Linked DNA regions of Arabidopsis thaliana. The protein of the gene in region 1 interacts with the protein of each later gene in a biochemical or structural test. Each region holds a gene or a part of one and is shown in the gene's direction. Other genes may lie near its edges.

Region 1 (4,625 bases):
ACATTTCGTTCCAGACAAAGAAGACTTAAACGAAACTGTTTCATCAAAAAAGTAAACCAAACGAACGATAACCAAACCAGAAGTGGTGACACAAAACCAAATCTAAACCAAAAACAGAGCAGCAGCACGCAAACAACTCTATCTTTGATTACCAGCCGCCACCACCGCCTCCGTAACTTCCACCATCACCGCCTCCGTAGCCACCTCCCTCACGGCGTCCACCACCACCGTATCCTCGGCCACCACCGCCTCCACCAGATCCGTAACCTCCGCTACGTCTCTCGTAACCACCACCGCCTCCTCCTGAGTATCCGCCGCCACCGCCTCCTGAGTATCCACCACCGCCTCCGCTGCGGTAACCACCACCGCTTCCACCACGGCCTCCTCCGCCACCGCCGCTACCTCTCGACTGAGCCTCGTTCACGGTGATGACACGTCCATCGAGCTCTTTACCGTTCATCTCTTCAATCGCATCCCTCATGGCTTTCTCGTCCTTGAAGGTGACGAATCCGAATCCCCTTGATCTTCCACTCTCGCGGTCGTTAATGATCTGTAAACAAACAAAATCATACACATCAGCAAAAACAATCGTGGAAGGAATATAAAACAAAGCGATGAATATAAAGCAAAAATCGATCGATCTCCGAGCTCATAGAAGCAGGAAGATGAACGTACCGATGGGACAAATTAAGTAACAGTAACAAAGAACGAGAGAGAACATAGTAACAGTAATCGAATCAAGTAACAGAGAAACAGATCGGAATCAGATCCGTCGAGGATCAGAATCATCGGAATCGGCTCGATCCGGGAGACCGATCTCTCGTGTAACAGACCTTAGAATCGATAACGTCGCCGAACTGTGAGAACGTCCTTTGAAGATCTTCATCATTGGTGGCCCAGGCAAGGCCGCCGACAAAGCACCGGTACTCAACTTCAGACATTTTTTTTTGGGGAAAAGAAGAGAAATTAGGGTTTCAAAATGTAAGAGAGAGACTTATGTGATTTGAGGTGATAAGACGCAGCCTTAATTTATAGAACAGGTGTGACGTAATAACTAGGGTTAAACATGTTTTCTAGGGTTTGCTGAAAGATTTGTTTCAACTTACTCTGATTAAGATGTGTGGTTAATTGGGTTAGTGGTTAGGCCCACATCATGTGAGCATTTTCGATAACTAATGATTTTTTCTCCTCGTTTCGAGCAAAAAATATCTTTGTAAGAATATCTTTTATTCCTTAAATGACAATTTTGTCCTTCGTCTCGTCGTCATTATGTCATACAATAGTTGGGTCTGAGTTTCGTTTATTGGGCCTATCTAATTTAATTGGAAAGATTATAACTTCCGGCCCAATGAATCTGACGGCGAAATTAGTAAAACAATAAAATGAAATAATATGCAAAGACTATGACGATAATGTGCTATGGATTTACATATTTGTTTTGTCATTAATTATGACATGCAATAAATTCATATGAAAAGATTCTTATCGCAATAGCATCGTGGACATGTTACAGTCTGTAATATCCAAACTTTAGCATAGACGTTTTTTGTTGTACAAATATTTTGGTATGTTAAGTGATATTCAAATGAAAGCTAGATGTGCAGATATGTGAACATATAAATCTTTCAATGGAATTCAATTTTCAATCATTGAATATTTGGATACACTCGCTCTGTACTTGAAATATTTTGACTGTCTGAATATTATTTTTTTACAGGATTAATTATTTTGTATACCAAAATTAGACGGATGAAGAATGAAGATGTAGTAGTTATACAAAGTCAATTACAAATGGTTCAGTATCTTGATTTCGATTTTTGTGCTGAAAATGCTGACTAAAGCGTGTAGAAGAGCTTTTTCAACAAGAAATAACCTGGCTAAGATTTTTTTAAGAAATCTGATTATTAATATATCGCAGGTAATATGAAAAAGTATCGTCGACTTTTTATAAGAGTGACAACTAAATCATTTTGCTCATAATAAAGCCACAATTATTATTAGTATATTTTGGTCGTTTTAATACGAGGAAAAATAATTGTCATACAAAATTTACAGAAATGGAGTAGCATCGTAGCTCCTAGGAATTCAATTATTTATTTGCAAAACTACTAAAATGGTGGTTATCATATTAAACGTCAGCAGAAACTTTAAGTATTTTTGAAATGATATTAATTTAAGAGTTCGTTAAGCTGTCTTGGGCGGGATCGTTGAGAGTCAAACTCCTCAAACGACGCCGTATTCAGAACTTCACTTTCAATTACTGTATCTGCGTCTCGGTCACGAGATCGAACCATAAATCTTGGGAACGTGCACGTATACAACGAAAGATCCACCTTCTCTCACTTTTTTTATTTTCTTATACTTTCTTCTCTTTTCTTCGAACGGCCGCTGTTCTTGACCAGTCTGAAGCTTTCTCTGTCCAGAACAGTTCTGTAAGAAGAAGTTTTTATCAAATATTATATAAAAATATCTGTTTCGTATTATATCAGACTTTCCATCTTTCTCTCTCTAAATCTAGGACAAAAAAAAACATGGAAGAGTTAGAGAGAGAGAGAGGCAGCAGAAAATGATTGGTAAACAACAATGAATCGTTTTTGATTCTGAAGTGCACAGAGAAAAGTAATTGCCAGAGAAAGTCGCAGAGGTAACAGAGTGAAGAACCTTTTTTAGTATATATCTTTGTTGAATAATCACAAAAAGAAAGTTTCCTTTATTGATCGGATTCGAAGGAAACCCAAAAAAAAAAGAGATTTGATTATTTCCATAAATCGCGAAGCTTTTTTCCAATTGAATCTTAGGCAATGAATGGCTTTAAGTTTTTCGAAGTACTAGTCGTCACCAGGGTTTAGAGAAACCATGGTGGTTCTGAGGAAGACATCCTTGTTGGTCTTCTTCTTATTCCTCCTCTTGTTGTTAGAGTCAACGTTTGAGCAACAGACAAGTTCTCTGAATGAGAAATCGGCGCTTCTGCTGTTAAGGTCTTCTCTTGGGTTACGAAGCAGAGATTGGCCTGTAAAAGGCAATCCTTGTCTGAACTGGAACGGCATCAAATGTGATCAGAATGGTAGAGTAACTAAGATCAACATTTCAGGGTTCAGAAGGACAAGGATTGGGAATCAAAACCCGGAATTCTCAGTTGGTTCTCTCGTCAATCTCACCCGTCTAGCTTCCTTCAACGCCTCAAGGTTCTATCTTCCAGGTCCAATCCCGGCTTTGTTTGGATCGAGTCTGTTGACTTTAGAGGTGTTGGACCTTAGCTCCTGTTCAATCACAGGAACCATCCCTGAAAGTTTGACTCGGTTATCACATCTCAAAGTTCTTGATCTTTCAAAGAATGCGATCAATGGGGATATTCCTCTGTCTCTTACCTCTCTTCAGAATCTATCAATCCTTGATCTTTCCTCAAACTCGGTGTTTGGTTCGATTCCTGCTAATATTGGGGCACTCTCAAAGCTCCAGCGTCTGAATCTTTCGCGTAACACCTTGACTTCTTCAATACCTCCATCACTCGGAGACCTCTCTGTTTTAATTGACCTTGATCTCAGCTTCAACGGAATGTCAGGTTCGGTTCCATCAGATTTGAAAGGGCTAAGGAACTTGCAGACATTGGTAATTGCGGGAAATCGCCTTTCAGGATCCCTACCTCCTGATCTGTTTAGTTTGCTGAGTAAACTTCAGATCATTGACTTCAGAGGCAGTGGTTTCATAGGCGCTTTACCGTCCAGGTTATGGTCGTTACCGGAGCTCAAGTTTCTAGATATTTCTGGAAATCACTTCTCTGACATGCTGCCTAATACCACTGTCAGTTTTGATTCTACTGTCTCCATGCTTAACATATCCGGGAACATGTTTTACGGCAATCTCACACTTTTACTGACAAGGTTCCAAGTTGTTGACCTGTCAGAAAACTATTTTGAAGGTAAAATTCCTGACTTTGTGCCAACCAGAGCTTCATTGAGCAACAATTGTCTTCAGGGCCCAGAGAAGCAGCGGAAGTTGTCGGATTGCACTTTGTTTTATTCAAAAAAGGGCTTAACTTTCAACAATTTCGGACAACATGAAGAGAAGAAGAGTTCTAAAACTTCCTGGTTAAGCCACACGAAAATAGTTATACTTGCTGCAGTTGGAGGGTCTATATTGCTTATGCTCATTCTCATAGTGTTACCAATAACAGTGAGTTTCTGTGTCCGTCGAAGAAACAGATCATCAACAAGTAATCATCCTAGAGGAAGACACAACGGTGTTGGCCCATTACCTCCTGATGAAACACTTCCCTCAAGAGGAGGAGTCTCTATAAACTTTGGGAGTCTTGGATCATCATTTACCTATCAGCAGTTGCTCAATGCCACCAAGGAGTTCAGTGATTCAAACCTGATCAAGAAAGGACAATCTGGGGATCTTTTCAAGGGAGTTCTAGAAAACGGAGTTCAGATCGTTGTGAAAAGAATCAGCTTGGAATCTACAAAGAACAACGAAGCTTATCTAACCGAGTTGGATTTCTTCAGCCGGTTTGCGCATCCGAGAATAATCCCATTCGTAGGGAAGAGCTTAGAGAGCGCAACTCATAAGTTCTTGGTATACAAGTACATGCTGAATAGGGATTTACCAAGCTCATTGTTCTATAA
Region 2 (4,625 bases), 7.3 Mb from region 1:
CCACTACCGGACCTAGACTATGAAATCAAGACTTTTTTTAACTAATCAATATAAAACCAAAGATGTCAGTATTGGATTACTCCATTCCGTGAAAACATGTTTAGTTCTCATACACAAGTAGATAGAACCGAGGGTTGTATATTCAAATTCAAAAACCCGGCAAATAATTTACTTAAGTGTTTTTAGTTTCTCTAATTTCATTCTGAAAGTTTCATATATATGGAAGAAAATTAAAAGTAAAAGATTGAGACGTTCATTTTAGAAAAATAAAGTAGAAAAAATCAACTGGTCTTTGGCTTTTCTTTTTCACTTTAGGCGAGTAAAGTTGATGGGGGAGGGCCTCCTCTTTGTTCTTCTCAAATTTTAGGCATCTTAATAATCTAAAAACAAAGCAAAATCGAATAAACTAAAAAGAGCCCATAAAATTGCTAAAGATGGATAGATTTGTTTCAGATTTTCTCTGTTAAATAAATCAACTTAAGGTATTCCATATCACACTTTTCCACGCCAAGTACTTTCGAAGTTCAAACCCTTCTTGCTATCATATGAAAGAGATATGTATTCTTGCTAATTAATTTGTCGACTATAATTTTATAACCCACAACATGAATTTCTTCACCATTATACAACCTGGAATTACTTTATCTATTTTAGATGTTTTTCTTACAAAAATAATAATTTCCCTTTAGATCACATACCACATTGATCTGCTTCCCTAGTTTATCTAATAAATCTGATGAGTCCTTTTCATAGAAATACATATTAAAAATAGAAAAGGAGAAAAACAATCGTAAAGGGGAGATTACGAAATAATTCGATAATAATTGTAGATTGGCATGTACATATACTACTATCTTTTTGCAGGTTCATGGTGTGAAAACTTCGAGGAGTATAAGCTGATGAAACATTGGGTACAGAAACAGAATCCTTGACAGAGAAGTTATTAATTTCTTTCTTCTACGACAACAAAAAAACAAAAGTAGCTGCATGCACAATTACCAAAGATTCTAGTTACTTTGGAGTTTGGTTTGTACTTATTTAGTGGTTGGACAAAGACAATGCATGGCCTCTTAATTAAACCTGATGGATTAGATTTTGATTTTTTAGTTAATGGAGCATAAAACGTTAGAGTGACATAAAGGTACGATGTTTAATTCAGGGTAATTATATGATTTATAGCTAGTACATAAATTCCACCCGAAATAAAACAAAAATCGATTCATGCGTTCGACAAAATGATAAGAGTGAGACAGATGGAAATTTAATATATTAAAATAAAGTATTTCAGCAACATGTGATATTGTGTGTTTCTTAATTTTATATTTTACGATTTCTAAGGTTTTCTTAAAACCCTTCCAATATTTTTTTGTTTTTTTTCTTTCTTAATAATGTTTTAAAATTATTTTGCTTTATTATTTTATTTTTCTAATAATCGAATAGAAAAAATAAATTTAATATGGTTGCCTTTAATGGACTGAATAGACATTAATCACGTAAGAAAAAGCATTGATCTTCAAACAATAAGCTTAAATAGTAGTTATTTTTTGATTCGATAAGGTAATTTGGTTTTACTTTATTTGTTGTTTATTAAACTCACAAATTCATTCAAATTTGGATTGCTTAAGAATGTGTTTTTCATCTTAGTTCAATTTATTCAAATTTGGATCACCTATGTAGAGGATTTCCATATTTCTACAAAGTACAAATCAAAAGGGGAACACAACAAATTTCTATGAATTAATTATTTATTAAAAAGTTATCAACGAAAACGTCTCCCAAGCGTATATACAAAATTAGCATATGCCATAGGTAAATTTAAAGCTTGAAAGTATCATTTTATTTGCAGGAAGCGGCAATTTAGTAAGAAGTACTCAAAGTATCATTTACCAAAAGTATATGGTTTTGGGAAGAGTTGTTAGGGATGTATTCTTTCTAAACAGATGATATGACGATGTTCTTGAAAACTAATGTTAAAGACGGAATCTCTGGCATCTTCACTCGGGAGATATATTAAACCGTTGATTGTAGTTAGCCATGTACTTAGCTTAGTGCACAAATAATCTGCTGCAAGAAATCTTTTTCTATTATAATATCTCTCATTTAAACATTAGAACATATTGTTTAACTTGTTCTTCTAGAAATAAAACTGCTAATTTCTTATGGTAAACTATTTTCCTTTAGATTGCACAATCGAACTCGAAAATCTAGTGGAGACTATGTGACTATGTTTATATATATGAAACCTAAATCAAATTATCCCAATAATTGGGAGACACAAAAGAAAAATTACGAAAGAAAACAGGAAATCAAATCAAAAGATAAAGAGAAGGTAAAAAAAGGCAAGAAGCACTAATGTTTAATATTTATAGTTTTCTCCATTAAAGAAAAAGCGATGATGTGTGTTCTCATCTTTTGTGAAAGTATATATATTGCTTTTGCTTTTCTCAAAAGCAAAAGACTCATCCAACAAGAACAAAAAAAAAAACTAAAGCTCAATCCAAAAGACGAAGAATGCATTGGATACTACAACTTCTTTTTCACTTTTCTTTCAAATTTACAATTATGATTTTCACAATACAGTTTATTCAAAAATAAATAAAAAAACGAGGCATGAAAATAATGATTATCCTCTTCACTTATTAAGCCACTCACTATAAGCAGAGCAACTCCAGAACATAGTGAGCCCCCAAAACATTAAAGCATGATGATGTCTAATGATGATGATCTTCTTCGTTCCATTTCTCTAAATTTTTGGGATTTCTGCGAAGACCCTTCTTCTCTTTCTCTTCTCTGAACTTCAAGATTCGTGTCGGACAAATTTTTGTTTTTATTTTTCTGATGTTACAATGGCAGACAAGATCTTCACTTTCTTCCTAATCTTGTCTTCGATCTCTCCTCTCTTATGCTCTTCTTTGATCTCACCTCTTAATCTCTCACTTATTAGACAAGCAAATGTCCTTATCTCTCTAAAGCAAAGTTTTGATTCCTATGATCCTTCTCTTGATTCATGGAACATTCCAAATTTCAACTCTCTATGTTCTTGGACTGGTGTTTCTTGTGACAACTTGAATCAGTCTATTACTCGTCTAGACCTATCTAATCTCAACATCTCCGGCACTATCTCTCCGGAAATATCTCGTCTTTCGCCGTCACTTGTTTTTCTTGACATTTCTTCTAACAGTTTCTCCGGTGAGCTTCCTAAAGAGATCTATGAGCTCTCAGGCCTCGAAGTGTTAAACATCTCTAGCAATGTTTTTGAAGGAGAGCTGGAGACACGTGGGTTCAGTCAAATGACTCAGCTTGTGACTCTTGACGCTTACGACAACAGCTTCAACGGATCACTTCCTCTGAGTCTAACCACACTCACTCGTCTCGAGCACTTAGATCTTGGAGGAAACTACTTCGACGGTGAGATCCCTAGAAGCTATGGAAGTTTCTTGAGTCTCAAGTTTCTTTCTTTATCTGGTAATGATCTCCGTGGGAGAATCCCTAACGAGCTAGCGAACATCACGACTTTGGTACAGCTTTACTTAGGTTACTACAACGATTACCGCGGTGGGATACCTGCAGATTTCGGGAGATTGATCAATCTTGTTCATTTGGATTTAGCTAATTGCAGCTTGAAAGGATCAATTCCTGCAGAATTGGGGAATCTCAAGAACTTGGAGGTTCTGTTTCTTCAGACCAATGAGCTTACAGGCTCTGTTCCTCGAGAGTTAGGGAACATGACAAGCCTCAAGACTCTTGATCTCTCCAACAACTTTCTTGAAGGAGAGATTCCTCTAGAGCTATCTGGACTTCAAAAGCTTCAGTTGTTTAACCTCTTCTTCAACAGACTACACGGCGAGATCCCTGAGTTCGTATCTGAGCTTCCTGATCTGCAAATACTCAAGCTTTGGCACAACAATTTCACCGGAAAGATTCCTTCGAAACTCGGATCAAACGGGAACTTGATCGAGATCGATTTGTCTACCAATAAACTCACAGGTTTGATCCCTGAGTCACTCTGTTTCGGAAGAAGACTAAAGATTCTCATTCTCTTCAACAACTTCTTGTTCGGTCCTCTCCCTGAAGATCTTGGCCAATGTGAACCGCTATGGAGATTCCGTCTCGGACAGAACTTTCTGACAAGTAAGTTGCCAAAGGGTTTGATTTATTTGCCGAATCTTTCGCTTCTTGAGCTTCAAAACAACTTTTTGACTGGAGAAATCCCCGAAGAAGAGGCGGGAAATGCGCAGTTTTCGAGCCTTACTCAGATCAATCTGTCCAACAACAGGTTATCCGGACCGATTCCTGGTTCAATCAGAAACCTCAGAAGCCTTCAGATTCTTCTTCTCGGTGCAAACCGGTTATCGGGACAGATCCCTGGCGAAATCGGAAGTTTGAAGAGTCTTCTCAAGATTGACATGAGCAGAAACAACTTCTCAGGCAAGTTTCCTCCTGAGTTTGGTGATTGCATGTCACTCACATATTTAGATTTGAGTCACAACCAGATTTCCGGTCAGATTCCGGTTCAGATATCGCAGATTCGGATTCTAAACTATCTGAATGTTTCTTGGAATTCCTTTAACCAAAGCCTTCCCAACGAACTCGGATACATGAAGAGTTTAACATCAGCAGATTTC
Region 3 (4,625 bases), on another chromosome or scaffold:
ATATTCTTTACAGCAATGACTGAAACATGGTGCAAATTAGCAAGAAATAATACGTGTAAAAAGCTATATGCATATTTGTTCAAAGGCAACATACCATCATTTTGATTTGTTTCTGATTGAGGAAACTCAATGCCCGTGAAAATTTCGAAAGCATTCATCAAGGGTGGAAGAGTCGATTTCGGAGTTTTTATAAGTTGCAGACGACAAAATCCTCCCTCGCATGTCAGTGGTACATTGTTGAACATAACTTGTGCTTCAAATCTGGTAGGACGGAAAGGATCGAAATGAACTTTATTATTTACCACAACTTCGAATTCTCTAGTTTCATTGGCCTGGACTTCCATGATCTCGGCGATGTAAATATAACCGTAAACCTGGTCAGTAGCCGTCTTCAAATTCCAGGTAATGGTCATTGGATCACTGGCATTAGCGGGCATGGCGCCGGTCCTAAGTACATCTTGTGGTGGGTCATAGCCATCTATAGAATCAATAACGTGGTGACTTGTGTTTATATGCGTCCATTCTGGTAATATCAACGGCACCCAAATTCTATCATGCACATCTTGGGGATAACTGCCAAAATCAAGTTATATATTTTACTTTACATCAACTAATAACAATAATTAATACTGTATAATCTTGGTTTACGCTAGATGGCTTAAATGACAATAATATTAAAGTTTTTGTGGAGATTAAAGTTTCTGCTCATAATCTACTTTGGTTATTTATAAAGCATAAGGTGAAAATAAGGTACCGTATATAGTTGTTTGAATCGGTGAAATAGAACCGGTTATAATTCCTCAAGGAACCGGTTTGAGCAATATAAGTATCATATAGCAAGGGTCTCAACTCTATGGATGATATCATTGGTGTACTCGTCCCTGTCTTGACGAGACATATGTCCAAGATGTTAGACCTTGTGATGTGAATGATCTCCTCCAGAACTCCATCACCTGACTTCCCCATATCTATGGTTGTCCAAATATTAGGACCAAGATAGAGGTCGAATCTTGGAGAATTGTTAAGCCCGTCATAGTTTCCATATCGAAACATAACCCTGATTAGATAATTTGTGTCTTGCTTGACATTTAGACTGTAACAATTTCGGATTCCATCCGGAAAGTATCTCAAAACCGTATATGGCTTCCTGAGTTTCATAAGCAAGTCTTTTTGGACATTACCAGTTTTTCCTCCTTGAATGAAATCAGCATCGGATATGTACGTCAGATTGCTATTTGCTTCGTTGTAAGGAGACTCGTTAGAAGCTAATCCACAATCCAAACTGATGAATCCTGGTAAGACCGAAAAGGGAGAGGTACATATTGTTTTTCTTATATAAAGTTCTATCTCAAAAAAAAATTTAGAATGGTTTATTTCCAAAATTATTGTAAAAAAGAAAAACAGATGATAAAAAGACCTTGTTGATTCTGAGATTGAACAAGATGTAAGATGGATAAAGTGGCACACGCAGCAAACAGAAGCCTGGTGCAAGTGTCCATTTTTGATGATTTCTTCGTTCACAACTAACAAAACTTACTACTACCAAAGTTTTGAAATGGACAAATTTTTAGTGTTATAAGCTGCAAATGGAATTAATCATGGTGACGTCTACGTATAAATTTTGTTTTAAAAACTTAAACTTTTGCCATGGTTTTATCTAACGAATAATAACAGCTAACCACTGGTATAATATCCATATAAAATAAATCAAGACGTTAGTGGTTGATTATAAAATTTTTGAAATGAAAAATATGCAACCAGGTTATATACTCTCTATATTTTAAAAATCTCGATTCATTTGTTCACTTTTGCTTATATTCGTGGTTTGATTCTGACACGATCGGTGACTTTGCCATATATGAATATGACATCCCTTCACACACACGGTAATAACTCATTTTCTCAGGTTAATCTACTATAGGTGTGCTTGATGATAACCAATTAGAATCAATCAGTTCTACTAATTTCCACTTGCAAACCTTTTTTATAAAATTTAAACATGACACACACTTGTCAGATTTTATAATTCCACTTGAGAAAAGTCTTACCATAATCAAATTATTAGACAAATTATTTCGAATTTGGTTAGAAGATCGGTCCAACTCAATAGGTGGCTTATTGTTATTGGTATGTGAACGTTGACATATTTCCCGTTATGATCCGCCCCAAGCAGAAATATAAGTTAATAAATAATTATTTAACAATTCATCCGTTTTTTATATCCAAAGGTTTGATTTGGCATGTTTTATATTGCAAGTACATTGGCAATTCGTAATCCTTTTTTTTTTTTGGACAGAGGTGGGAAAATGAAAAACCTCCGTGGACTTCTATTGGCCTTCCTAGTTTTGTCTTTAGGCATTTCCGATTTTCTTCGAGCACAAGATCAACAAGGTATAACTTTTTTTGTTTCAGGTTTTCTTCTTTTAACTTTGACTAAACATGTTTCCTATCACAATTTAGTCATTAATTCAGTTTCCAAACTTATTTTTTTACCAAATTATTTCTCTGTTTTTTTTCTTTTGCCTTTATCAGGATTCATCAGTTTGGATTGCGGGTTGCAAGCCGATGAGTCTCCTTATACCGAACCATTAACAAAGTTAACATTCACATCAGACGCCGATTTCATCAAAAGTGGAAAAAGCGGCAAGATTCAAAATGTTCCGGGGATGGAGTATATAAAGCCATACACGGTTTTGAGATATTTTCCAGATGGAGTACGAAACTGTTATACTCTTATCGTCATACAAGGCACAAACTATCTGATCGTAGCCATGTTTACTTATGGAAACTACGATAATCTTAACACACACCCAAAGTTCGACCTTTATCTTGGTCCAAATATATGGACCACGGTCGATTTGCAAAGAAATGTAAACGGAACAAGGGCGGAAATCATTCACATACCAAGGTCAACTTCTTTGCAGATTTGTCTTGTTAAGACGGGAACAACTACGCCGCTAATATCAGCTTTAGAACTACGACCATTGAGAAATAATACTTATATTCCTCAATCTGGTTCCCTCAAGACATTGTTCCGCGTCCATTTGACTGATTCCAAAGAAACTGTTCGGTAAGCCAACTCAAAACCAATTGGTAATGAATAGATTGGTTTCCACTGGATACACTGTTCGGTAATACTTTCCATCCTTTCTCTTCAGGTATCCAGAAGATGTCCATGATCGTCTTTGGAGTCCATTTTTCATGCCGGAATGGAGACTGTTAAGAACAAGTCTCACGGTCAACACTTCTGATGATAACGGCTATGACATACCGGAAGACGTAGTGGTTACGGCAGCCACACCTGCAAATGTGAGTTCACCATTAACCATTTCTTGGAATTTGGAAACACCTGACGACTTAGTTTATGCATACCTCCACGTCGCTGAGATCCAATCCTTAAGGGAAAATGATACCAGGGAATTCAACATTAGCGCAGGCCAAGATGTTAACTATGGACCTGTTAGTCCTGACGAGTTTCTAGTGGGTACTCTATTCAATACATCACCAGTTAAATGTGAAGGAGGGACATGCCATTTGCAACTAATAAAAACTCCAAAATCAACTCTCCCTCCCCTCCTCAATGCTATTGAGGCTTTTATAACAGTGGAGTTTCCGCAGTCTGAAACTAATGCAAATGACGGTATGTCAGCAAAATCTGAGTATATATATACTTTTTTGTATATACTTAAGTGTTTTCATTCTGTTATTGTGTGTTAGTCCTTGCTATCAAGAGCATAGAAACAAGCTATGGATTAAGTAGAATTAGTTGGCAAGGAGATCCATGTGTTCCTCAACAATTATTGTGGGATGGTCTTACCTGCGAGTACACCAATATGTCTACACCACCAAGAATCCATTCCTTGTACGTCCATGGCTATTCGTAACATTAAAACAGTTTTTTGTTAAGCTCTGCATTTCGTAACATCTTACACTTTAAATGTGTGTTATGATCTTTAATTACCACCAGAGACTTGTCCTCAAGTGAACTAACTGGAATTATAGTTCCTGAGATCCAAAATCTTACGGAGCTTAAAAAATTGTAAGTATGAACACATTGCCAATTTTTTATCAAGGTCAAACACATACTCTGTTTTACCTGAATACTCTGTTTTACTTGAATACTCTGTTTATCAAGGCCAAACATATAATCAATTAATTCATTTTTGCATATGATAGGGACTTTTCAAATAATAATCTAACAGGTGGAGTACCTGAATTTCTAGCCAAAATGAAATCATTGTTAGTCATGTAAGTTACTTGGTCACTCATATGAATCACATTGCCAATTTATTATCCGAGTCTGTTGATGTTTATTTTTTACCTAGGCAGAAACTTAAGCGGAAACAACCTTAGTGGATCAGTCCCTCAAGCTCTTCTCAACAAAGTGAAAAATGGGTTGAAGTTGAAGTAAGATCTTCTCAACTATATTTAGTCTTCAATAGTTGATGGTCATTGAAATATGATATCTTAATTTGCAGTATGTCTTCACTAACACTTGATTAGCTTGTTTACAATACTAGCATTCAGGGAAATCCAAACCTATGTTTTTCCAGTTCATGCAACAAAAAGAAAAATAGCATCATGTTACCAGTTGTTGCATCACTTGCTTCTTTGGCTGCTATAAT

What was found.
Region 2: the proteins of AT4G39270 (region 1) and BAM3 form a complex in vitro, tested with the Arabidopsis thaliana proteins (one large-scale study listed by BioGRID).
Region 3: the proteins of AT4G39270 (region 1) and AT1G07560 form a complex in vitro, tested with the Arabidopsis thaliana proteins (one large-scale study listed by BioGRID).

What each region holds. Positions count from the first base shown.
Region 1 is NC_003075.7:18,274,018-18,278,642, forward strand, and holds the start of AT4G39270 (Leucine-rich repeat protein kinase family protein), read left to right. Parts: upstream 1-2,293; 5' UTR 2,294-2,856; coding exon 2,857-4,625. Other genes in the region: CCR1 (cold, circadian rhythm, and RNA binding 1), read right to left, coding at 149-550, 834-941.
Region 2 is NC_003075.7:10,946,976-10,951,600, forward strand, and holds the start of BAM3 (Leucine-rich receptor-like protein kinase family protein), read left to right. Parts: upstream 1-2,597; 5' UTR 2,598-2,846; coding exon 2,847-4,625. UniProt on the Arabidopsis thaliana protein: Necessary for male gametophyte development, as well as ovule specification and function. Required for the development of high-ordered vascular strands within the leaf and a correlated control of leaf shape, size and symmetry.
Region 3 is NC_003070.9:2,325,014-2,329,638, forward strand, and holds the start of AT1G07560 (Leucine-rich repeat protein kinase family protein), read left to right. Parts: upstream 1-2,301; 5' UTR 2,302-2,306; coding exon 2,307-2,391; intron 2,392-2,532; coding exon 2,533-3,070; intron 3,071-3,158; coding exon 3,159-3,640; intron 3,641-3,717; coding exon 3,718-3,862; intron 3,863-3,967; coding exon 3,968-4,039; intron 4,040-4,176; coding exon 4,177-4,248; intron 4,249-4,329; coding exon 4,330-4,407; intron 4,408-4,520; coding exon 4,521-4,625. Other genes in the region: AT1G07550 (Leucine-rich repeat protein kinase family protein), read right to left, coding at 1-19, 95-573, 755-1,292, 1,418-1,499.